Callithrix jacchus: one gene and its partners. The protein of the gene in region 3 interacts with the protein of the main gene of each other region in a biochemical or structural test. Links are inferred from orthologs where the notes say so. Each region holds a gene or a part of one and is shown on either strand. Other genes may lie near its edges.

What was found.
Region 1: the proteins of NFKB1 (region 3) and ELF1 form a complex in vitro, tested with the Homo sapiens proteins (2 studies listed by BioGRID). The link is inferred for Callithrix jacchus from reciprocal best matches to the Homo sapiens genes NFKB1 and ELF1.
Region 2: the proteins of NFKB1 (region 3) and DPF2 form a complex in vitro, tested with the Homo sapiens proteins (2 studies listed by BioGRID). The link is inferred for Callithrix jacchus from reciprocal best matches to the Homo sapiens genes NFKB1 and DPF2.

The regions. Positions count from the first base shown.
Region 1 is NC_133506.1:160,139,857-160,143,606, reverse strand, and holds the end of ELF1 (ETS-related transcription factor Elf-1), read left to right. Parts: intron 1-1,622; coding exon 1,623-2,226; 3' UTR 2,227-3,592; downstream 3,593-3,750.
Region 2 is NC_133511.1:122,417,435-122,421,184, reverse strand, and holds the start of DPF2 (zinc finger protein ubi-d4), read right to left. Parts: upstream 2,611-3,750; 5' UTR 2,569-2,610; coding exon 2,537-2,568; intron 1-2,536. UniProt on the Homo sapiens protein: Plays an active role in transcriptional regulation by binding modified histones H3 and H4. Is a negative regulator of myeloid differentiation of hematopoietic progenitor cells. Might also have a role in the development and maturation of lymphoid cells.
Region 3 is NC_133504.1:94,841,799-94,845,454, forward strand, and holds the start of NFKB1 (nuclear factor NF-kappa-B p105 subunit), read right to left. Parts: upstream 2,902-3,656; 5' UTR 2,445-2,901; intron 2,248-2,444; exon of another isoform or gene 2,055-2,247; intron 1-2,054.

The DNA of each region.
Region 1 (3,750 bases), on a different chromosome or scaffold from region 3:
AGCTTTATTCCCACTGCTTTTGAACCTCTCCTGAATTGCACTGGGTCTTTGTTTCATCTTTCCATCAAGCCAATTTGTTCTTCTCCTCTACAATTTTATTTCTCACATGTGAGAAATATAACTAACTTTCAAAATGTAGCTTTAATAATCTAGTGGTAATATTTAATGCTTGGTTTATGGAGACTAATTTAGCTGTTAGCTGTTTGAAATAGCAAGTATCTTTCATTAAATAACTTTACAGAATTCAGAGGAAACAGCTGCCATTCAGATGCTGAGATTTTTCAGTGGCATTTTTTATACTATATTAACAATAACCGTAACTATAAATTTCAGACCTGTGAACTTTTAAAATTAGATTGACTCATAGTATCATTTACGTAACTTTCTCTTTCTTCAATGAGTGGGATTAACAACCTACATTAACTAGATTTTGCATTAAAGCATTTTATATTAAACTGTAGCTTTATAACCAAATTTGTGAAAATTATTTGAACCTGCAAAACTGCTAAAACATGTTTTTTCTATTTATTTTTCCAAAACTTAGCCATGCCAGCCCAAGAACCCTCACAGGTTAATTATAATCATGGCTTGTTTCATATAAATATGACATGAGGCCGGGCATGGTGGCTCATGCCTGTAATCCAAGTACTTTGGAGGCCAAGGCGGGCAGATTACTTGAGGTTGGGAGTTCAAGACCAGCCTGACCAACATGGTGAAACCCCTTTATAAAAAAAAAATAAATAAAATATGACATGAAATGTGAGCTAGTAAAATTCTAAGAATTCTGTCACATGTTTAAGACTGAAGTGGGTTTTTTGTTTTCATTAATTAAGGATTTCCCCCCTTTATATGTAAAAACAGGTTGAAAACAATTATGAAGTTTGGGAATTAGTGTGGATGAGCATGACGATAACATTATCTCTCAAATATTAAAATAGTAGGCTGGGCACAGTGGCTCATGCCTATAATCTCAGCACTTGGGAGGCCGAGGTGGGTGGATCACCTGAGGTCAGGACTTTGAGACCAGCCTGACCAACATGGCAAAACCCCATCTCAATTAAAAATACGAAAATCAACCAGGCATGGTGGCACATGCCTGTAGTCTCAGCTACTTGGGAGGCCAGCAGGAGAATGAATGGCTTGAACCCGGGAGGTGGAGGTTGCAGTTAGCTGAGATCACACCACTGCACTCTAGCCTGGGCAACAAGAGTAAAACTCCATCTCAAAAAAAAAAATTGGAATGAATCAAACAGATTTGCTTTCAAATTCCTAATTTTAAGAAGCTTATGCAAACTTCCTTGCCGACCATTTTAACACCCTCCTCCTTCCCCAACAAAATGGGCTCCTCGTTTGTGTTAATGTGGCACTATGCACAGACCTTTCTTCCATAGCACTCAGCAGATGGTACCGTAGTTGATGGCCTGAGAGTTTCGTGTCAGGCATCTCTGTGTGTAATGTTTAATGCAGAGTCTGGCACGACGTTGGTCATGCTGTGTTGAAAATATAGGAAGTAGCATTTTGAAACGTGTAACTGGTGTTTTGTAAAATGACTTGTCAAGTGTAAAGTTTTAAATGACGTAGAATATGCTAATTGTCTCACTTTAATTTCATAATCTCAATAGGACTATACAGGCTCCGACCCAAGTTCCAGTGGTTGTGTCTCCTAGAAACCAGCAGTTGCATACAGTGACACTGCAGACAGTGCCGCTGACGACAGTGATAGCCAGCACAGACCCATCAGCAGGTACCGGCTCTCAGAAGTTTATTTTACAAGCCATTCCGTCATCACAGCCCGTGACAGTACTGAAAGAGAATGTCGTGCTGCAGTCACAGAAGGCGGGCTCTCCTCCTTCGATTGTCCTGGGCCCTGCCCAGGTGCAGCAGGTCCTTACTAGCAATGTTCAGACCATTTGCAACGGAACCGTCAGTATGGCCTCATCTCCATCCTTCAGTGCCACTGCACCTGTGGTGACCTTTTCTCCGCGCAGTTCACAGCTGGTTGCTCACCCACCTGGCACTGTAATCACTTCAGTTATCAAAACTCAAGAAACAAAAACTCTTACACAGGAAGTAGAGAAAAAGGAGTCTGAAGATCATTTGAAAGAGGACACTGAGAAAACAGAGCAGCAGCCACAGCCTTACGTGATGGTTGTGTCCAGTTCTAATGGATTTACTTCTCAGGTAGCTATGAAACAAAATGAACTGCTGGACCCCAACTCTTTTTAGTTAATCTACCAAAGCTTATGAATAATTGGTTTTTAATTGAACATTTCAATTGTATGCAAACTGATTGATTCTAAGATAAATTCTACTGAGGTTCCTACTTTTGTAATTGTTAAAAATAGAGTTAATTTTGACTTTAATAGATGAGGGAGGAAAACTCAAGTGTTAATCTTTGTTCTCTAAATGTTTCAGAATTCAATTGTGAAGGAACAGGCATTTTACACTATGAAGACATTCTTTTGAGATCTCTTTTTCAGTTGCTATATCATAAGCATTTTCGAAGTTTCTTTTCTAATTTTACATTGTATTAGGTTTTCTGATTCTTTTGTAAATACAGAACTTAAATATGAGGCAACAGGAAATTTATATAGGAACTATTTTCATTCCATTTGTATAAGTAAAGTCTTGACTCTTTCAAATAGAAAAAACCTATTTTATGCTTTGTTAAAATTGTGATGTCACTTAGACTGACTTTAGTTGGCTGCACTATATGAACTATGAATATGTAAAATGACGTGAAAAATTGGAGGTGCCGCTGGTGTGGCTGACCGGTTGCAGAAGCAGGGCAGTATGGAAGCGTCTGCCTAAGAATGGCACTCCCACTAACCAGCTGTGTCCCCTTGACCTTTTGGGGCCTTAGTTCTTCTCATAAAAGGAGGCAATGTATTGGACTAGACTAGACGATCTCCACTTTCTCTTCTAGTTCTAATTTTTTTAATTCTAATAGCTATATTTTCAAGTTATGTCAATTAAAACATCAGGTTATTTTCTAATGTAAAAATAGCTAAAATGTTGCAGAAAAATGAGTGGCTTAACAAAATTTCTTCATCTGCTATGGGTAAATCAGCCGTAAATTCTTCCGAAGTAGTTGGTTTAGTAACCCTAGACCACCGTGCCATTTGCGGTCCATTAGCAAACTCACATTGCTAAGTGCTAAGCAGAATACTGCTATTTTGAGAGAGTCAGGACTCTGAAGGGCCAAGAAAGCAACTCGAGCCTTAGGCTAATCAGGCTGAGTAGTCAGTTATAAAAGCACAATTGCTTTATATTTTGGATTGTTTTTTACTGGGGGTAGACTTGGGGGGTTGCATACAGAGATAACATATATCCAAGTTTCTGAAATGAAATGTTTTTACATTACTTTTTCAACTGTAGATAATGTACATTTAATGTCACAAGAAAAATGGTCTTCTGCAAATTTTCTAAGTATAACAGAAATTTTTGTAGATGAAAAAAAATTATCTTTAGAGGTCTAATGTTATGTTTTCATATTACAGAGTGAATTTGTATTTAAACAAAAATTTAAATTTTGGAATCTAAACATTTTTGTATCTTTAATTGGTTTATTATTAAATAAATCATGTAAAAATTCTCAGTGTTTCTGTTTTCAGGCAAAAGTTTCTTGAAAGAATAGGTGTATAGAGCACACCGCTAGTATTTATAGCATTACTGAATGTTTATAAATAAACTCCATTAGTCAGAATTGCAGAATATCATCCTTTCACTTTTCCTTTCTGCCTGACCAAA
Region 2 (3,750 bases), on a different chromosome or scaffold from region 3:
ACACCCGGCTAATTTTTCTATTTTTAGTAGAGATGGAGTCTCACCATGTTGGCCAGGCTGGTCTTGAACTCCTGACCTCAAGCGATCCACCCACCTTGGCCTCCCCAAGTGTTGGGATAACAGGCGTGAGCCACCCTGCTCAGCCAAGATTTTTATTTCTGACATCACATTTGGAAGGGACAGAAATTTACAAATAAGAAAATTCTTCTCCCAGGACAAGATGCAAGTCAGAAAGTTGAGTGGCTGGGTGCGGTGACTCATGCCTGTAATCCTAGCATTTTATGAGGCTGAGACCCGTGGATCACCTCTGAGGTCAGGAGTTCAAGACCAGCCCGGCCAACATGTTGAAACCCGCTGGGTGTGGTGGTGGGTTGCCTTTCAGCTATTCAGGAGGCTGAGGCAGGATAATTGCTGGAACCTGGGAGGCTGAGGTTGCAGTGAGCCGAGATGGTGTCACTGCACTCCATCCTGGGCTGACAACAGCAAGACTCTGTCTCAAAAAAATAAAAGAAAATATGAGCTAGTGGTCCCGACCTCAGTGTATAATATCAACTGTCAGAAGACTAGGCACACTATAATCAAGAGAAGTGCCAGAAAAGCATCTCTTTCCAATGAACTGGAAGAATGGAAGCCCTTGTTAAAGGGATCATTCTGCAGGAGTACGTATTAACTGTGGTCTGAGGCCCTGTACAGCCAGAAATGAGGAGAAAGTTGGTTTCTCATTACTGGCATTCAGGAATTAGTGGCAGGTGAAACAATCTCTATAGTTTTTCCAAGAGAAATCAGAAGTCATGCGGTTTAAATGGGAACCCCTCACTTATGACACAACTTGAAAGCACTGGCAACCCTATCTCCCTGAGGAAAGTCTTCCAACACAAAAAGCCCCACTACGTTTAACTCTCAAAACATAGGCAAGTCTGATATTCCTCCAGTACAAGGGGAATCTTTCTTTTTATTTTTGGAGAAACCCGTGTAAAACATCCCCTTCCAATGGGATAAGGGAAGTCAACAAAGACGCAGGGAAACAAAGAACATCTCAGCCAGGAAGGATAACCGGTATACAAACAGTGTCATTTCTAAATTGAGAAAAATGTCAGCCTCAAGAGAGCTGCGAAACTGGAGTGGGCAGATCAGAGAGAAAGACAATAGTGTTGGGAGGAGGGTGGCTGAAAGAGACAGGATAGATCAGAAAGCAAGTTAAATGAAACACACACACACACACACACACACACACACACACGAGGAGGAAAGGCACTTAGCTTAATGGAAGTGGGAAAGCATTCTCAAAGAAAAGGCTTCAGGGCATGAGGGAGAAGCAGTTTACTCTTTAAAAAGGCTCTTAGGAAGAGTGGGGCTCAGCCCACGATAAAGACGGATGAAAAGCGGTGAGTCCCTTAGAACAGCTAGCGAACCTCTACTTTGTCATTCAGTCAAAATCCAACAGCCCTGACTGGACAGCTAGACATCCTCAATTTTCCCACCCTTCCACTGTCATTCAGTCAAAATCCAACAGCCCTGACTGGACAGCTAGACATCCTCAATTTTCCCACTCTTCCACTGTCATTCATTCCGTCAAAATCCAACAGCCCTGACTGGACAGCTAGACATCCTCAATTTTCCCACCCTTCCACCAAGCCCAACGTACCCATTAAAAGAAGCTCTATTCGCCTAGGGGGCATTAACCCAGTCCAAAACTCGTTCTCATTCTTCTGTAGGAATTAATCAAGTCCCAAAGCATCTTTAACTGACAGGAAGCAGTTCATAGGCCAGTGTCCATGGCCCCAACAAATACTAACTTTAACTCTGCTTGATATCTGGCCAGCACAATGGTACCGTGAAATAGGAAGAATACCCATCTGGATGTCCCTTTAGGCTACTGAGCTGTCCTGAACGGCTTCGGTCCAGCCGCAGGTTTTTGATGGCTGCTTCTGGACTGCGCCAAGGCCCGCTCCCCTGAAGTTCCTTCCCTTCTTGTATCCGCTCTTCGACAAATTCTTCCCAAGAATATTTGCAGTCTTAGGTGCCCGCCACCCAAGATCCTCCCAAACGTCACGGGGCCGCTCGGAACTAAAACATCCAGCCCCGCAGTGCACCCCACTGGGGCCGCCGACCCTGTTGCTGCAGCGGACGGGACGGGACCGGGCGGTTTGGGCGGCGGACTCGCCAGGGGCCGCCCGGGCCTCAGCCCCGCTCCTCGGGACTGAGGCGTCTGGGGAGAGGACCGGGACCGTGAGTCTCGCGCGCAGGCAGGGCGCCATGCTCTAGAAACCGTCAGCCCCGAGGAACGCTCAGGCTACACAGCCCCGCAGGGAGGCCGCCCGTCGAGGCTCCAGTGTGCCCCCATCAGGGCCTCCACAAGTTTCCAAAGAAGCGCAACGTCTTCTCCAGAGTCTCCTGTTGCCCTCCCCACCAGGAGTCGCAACACGATCTTGCCGGGCATGTCCCTCTCTCCGTCTCATCTCTTCCCGCACGGCCCCCTCCTCCCAGGCCCTTTACAAAACCTGCCGCCCTAGGAGAGAAAGAAACGACCACTCACAGCTTCACGACATTCTCCACCACAGCCGCCATCTTCCCTGCTCCTCTCCCTCGGGCCGGGAGGCCCCAGAGTCCGCAGCGCGCAGGCGCCGGGACCACACGGGGGCACCAGGTTCCTCGCCCTCTGCGCAGGCGCCGCCCGGGCGCGCGCACGAGAGCGAGTACTGAAGAAAGCTCTACGCTTGTCTGCGGGGGCCGGGAAGGAAACGCGTGAGACCGCACGGGAGACCGATGCGCAGGCGAAACCGGAGACTGGCATGCGTCCCGGAGCTCGGTTGGAGGCGGGCCGCCTCTTCTATCTAGAAGAGGTGGGGCAGGGCGAGGTGGCTCACGCCTGTAATCCCAGCACTTTGGGAGGCCAAGGCCCGTGGATCGGTTGGGCTCAGGAGTTCGAGACCAGTCTGGCCAACATGGTGAAACCCTGCCTTTACTAAAAATAGAAAAATTAGCCGGGCATGATGTCAGGTGCCTGTAATCCCAGCTACTTGGGAGGCTGAGGGGGAGAATCCTTTGAACCCGGGAAGGCGGAGGTTGCAGTGAACTGGGATTGCACCATTGCACTCCTGCCTGGGCTACAGAGCGAGACCCCACCTTAAAAAAAAAAGAGCTGGAGGAGGCCCGTCGCGGTGGCTCCCAGCACTTTGGGTGGCGGAGGCCGGAGGATTGCTTTGAGCTCAGGAGTTTGAGACCAGCCTGGGAAACTTAGGGAGTCCTCGTCTCTACTAAAAATTAAAAAATTACCCGGGTGTGGTGGCATGTGCCTGTGGCCCCAGCTACTCAAGATGCTGAGGTGACCAGATCGCTTGAGCACAGGAGGGTAGAAGCTGAGTGAGCCGTAATCGCACCACTGCACTCCAGCCTGGGCGACAAAGCGAACCTTGTGTCAAAAAAAATAAACAAACAAAAACCCCAGCACAGTCGACCTTCACTATCACCTCTTTTCAGTCTTTCAAAGCAAATAGTACTCCCTGTCTCTGTTGCCTTGTTTCCAAGTCCCCCTTCCACCCAATTGGTTCCCACCTGTTCACTTGAACTAGCTCCTGTAACCCTGACCTCCCTTTCAGCAGATTTAGAGATGTCTTCTCTGTCCTCATGGGCCTGTCAACCCCATGACACTGTTGGCCACTCTGCTTTTCAAACTCTTCTGCAGATCTTTGAGACGCCACCCCCTCCCGGTTGTCCTACCCCACTGGCAGTTCCTTCCAGTCTCTTCCT
Region 3 (3,656 bases):
GCACATCTACTAAGACTTGAAGATGAAAAAGATGACATTTTTGAGTACTTTATAAAAAATCTATATAGCAACTCAGACACAATTATGTTACTGTTTGAAAAATCAACTACTCGTCTTACTTCTCCCAAGTTCAAACCAACTGAAGGTTATGAAGCAACCACTTCCCCCAAAAGCCAGAACTTTCACCTCCTCTGAACAGAGAAATACCTCTCATAAATTAGGTAAAAATAAGGTCTTGCTGATGGAAGGATCATCCAAGATTCATGTAGCTGTCAATTCCCTATCTCTCCCACAATGTGCAATCCCTGAAAGTCAAGGTAGTAACTTACTCCATCAATTATCTGCAAGTCTAAAAGTGTGGTTAAAGCAACCTGCATAAATATTAGTTTCTCAAATTAGTTCAATTTGTTTCCAGGAACAGTAACAAGAGAAATGTAAGGAATATGATCACTAAATATAAAATTCTGCCAATTTCAGATTAATTTGCTTTAATCAACTCAACCATCACAGATCTTGTTTAAGAGGTAGAGTAAAAAGGAAGTGCAAAGATCAAAGCAATGCTTACAAAGGGGAAGGGGAAGGACTATTTTTGCAATGTATACCCCCATATTTACTACCTGGGTTTGAAAAACAGGGGCATTTACTCAGCACAAGTGAGTACCAATGCAGAACATAAGAAATTTCAAAAAAAAAAAAAAAGATAATAAGATTTTTAAATCACCAGCAACCCAGGATTATACTGTTTTCTTTAAAAAGTCTCTAAGAGTTTAAGTGGTTTTTTCACTGCAAGCAGCAGTATTAAGCATACATATAACGTGTTCCTTTGTGTTCAAGTTTGTCCAGCAGGCTGTAGCCCAGGAAGACATTTTATCTAAACAAGCAGGGGAGGCTATTTAGGAATTGCAGGTATATCAATATGGATGAATAATCTCAGATTTCATGTCTCCATTAATCGTATAAGCTCTTTTCGTTTTAGCAATTCAATTAAATCATGAATGTAAAATTCTACAAGGAACAGATCTTTTTACTTCCTGCTTTCCCAAGTTTATAAACTAAAAAAAGTACTCTGCTTCAAATTTAAATACATAATTCCCATAGTGCCTCAAACAGTAAAAGGATTCACCTCTAGAAAGCACAGTATTATAATTAGGAAAAAAAAACATACTTCAGTTTTAAGTTTCCCTTTTAAAGTTTTAACAAACAGGAATGCACTTTAAACTGCTTGATAATATTCAGTTGTCGGATTCTGCTAGAAAAAACGTATGGAACATCATGACCCCAACCTTTAGTATTTACTAAAGATCACCAGTGTGTAGAAGAATATTTTGATGCCAGAGCTAGTCAATGTTTTAGTAATACCATAAGCATTTTCTCAGATTATGAGCTTTATAACAAAATCTTTAGGTTAAATACAGTTAGTTCATAAACTGTAATGCTGAAAACCTCTACTTAACAGAGTACATGAAAATGTCTTGAATCTTGATAATTAAATCCTGTATCATTAAGTCCCATTTGAGTTTCAGGATAGACCAGTAAGCCAGGGCAAACATCCCCTGGTGTATATGTTTTTAAAGACCATAGGAAAACTTACATTTAGGTTAGGCATTGTTTTTACATTATTTTTTGTTTTGGAGGTCATGCACAATGCATGGTGACTCTGTCCAAGAGTTTTACATAATCAAGTCTAAAAAGTGCTCTAAGTATGCAAGTGACTATATCGTGTGTGTGGTGGGTTGGGGGGTGGGGGGCAGGGGGAGAGGGAGGGCGGGAGGGAGGGGGGAGGGAGAGAGAGAGACAGAGAGAGAGAGAGGAAGGGAGGGAGGGACAGCCTTCCTTTAGAAGTAGGAGAGGGATGAATAGACTCTCCTATTCAATTCTGGGGAGCTGGAGAGGGCTTTCCCAGCCAAAAGGACTGACAAGGACTTCTGCTTTCATTTCATGGAACGCCCTTAGGTGAAATCTGGTTCTGCACTGCACCAACCACCTTCCCTCTCTCCTCCGCGCCGCAGCGCACCTCAACCTTCTCACCATCCCCCAGCTGCGGCTGGGGGTGGGGATTTTAAAAGTTTGTAAGAGTTCCCCACCGGTTAGCGTTCCCGCCCCGCGGAGGGACGTGAATAGAAATGACCGCCCGGGGGCCACGGCCCTTCGGCCGAGTAGCCCCCTGCAAGGTCCGGATGCGCCGAGGACGTGAAGAGGAATGACCGCCCGGCGGCCGCGGCCCTTCGGCCGACTAGCCCCTGCGAGGTCCGGATGTGCCTTTCCCCGCTGTCTCCAATCCCTTGTGCCTCTCAGCTACTGTCAACCTTCTCCCACGGTCTAGCCCAGCGGTTAGCGCAGGAATAAGGAAGTCCGAGTGGGGCTGGAGGGGTGCGGAGGGCTGGGTGGTGGGACTCGGGCCACGCGTACCCTGCCGGGTCCCCACTCGCCCGAGTTTGGCTTACCCGGGTGGCGAGTCAGCGTTCGGCTTCCTGTCGCGGGTGGGCTCTCCCTCCCGGGCGGCGCGGGCCTAAGAGCTGGAGAAGGAAGAGGCGGCGGCCGGCCGGAGCCCGAGCGGGCCCGGGTGCGGGTCGGGGCGAGCGAGAGCGCAGCGGGGCCAGGCTGGGCCAGTCAGCGCCGCGCCATGTCCGCAGCGCGGGCGGAGGGAAGCGCAGGGCGCGCTGTGGCCGGGCGGCGGCGCGCCTTCCTGGCCGAGCGGCTGCGGCCTCGGCGGCGCTGGGCTCCGGGAGCCGGGCCGGCGGCGGCGTGCAGGCCGAGGGCGGCGGCGGCTGGCGGCCAGACCGACGGGAAGGGCAGGGGAAGCTGTCAGCGCGTCGCCGGGCCGCTCCGGTGGCGAAACCTCCTCTTCCTGCCCCGGCTCGCTGGTGCACTTCTCTCTCTTTCTCTGTCGCTCACTCTCTCACTTCCTGGCTGGAAATTCCCACTGACGTCGAGAGAGCATACAGACAGACTGACACACGCGCGCACGCAGCGGGGGCGGGAGGTGGGGTCGCTGGCGGGGGTGGGGGAAGCCCGCATTTATGGGGGCGCCCTGCGCCCCAGGCCCGGCCTGGCTTCTGGGCTCGGCTCCCGCCCCTCGGGGCCGCTTCGGGGCGCCGGGCGAGGGGCGCGCGTTAGGAGGCCAGGACGCCCCGGTACCCTGCAGGGCTCTGGCTTCCCAGCCAGGCGCTCCCGAACCCCGAGGGCTGGAGCCGGTAGGGACGCCCCCAGAAAGCGCCTGCTGGGCCTGATGGTCTAGGAACGCAGGCGGCGCGGAGGCGGCGGCGGCGGCGGTGCAGCTGATAGAGTCATGCGGTCCAGAGACCCTAAGGGCAGGCCCGAGCAGCTGGAGGGTCGGCATGGATCCAAGCATGCCAGATATAAAAATAAAGCTCATCTGTATATTCCATTTAAGTGTGTCTCAGTTACACTCAAATCTCTTCGCAGATTAAACTAGAATTTAGATATCATAACCGACTTGTGTCAAGTGAAGTAACCTCTACTGGTTTTGGTGCAGTCTTAAATCTGGTTAGGACACTTACTCAGAACATTCATCTACCAGATATTGTTAGGCTTTTATGATAATTACTGTGGATAGAATCATAGTGATGGTGGTAGGAATGCATTTGATCTGACAGAGGGGAGTTTTCTTTTTCTCTGAAGAGATCGTTACTGGC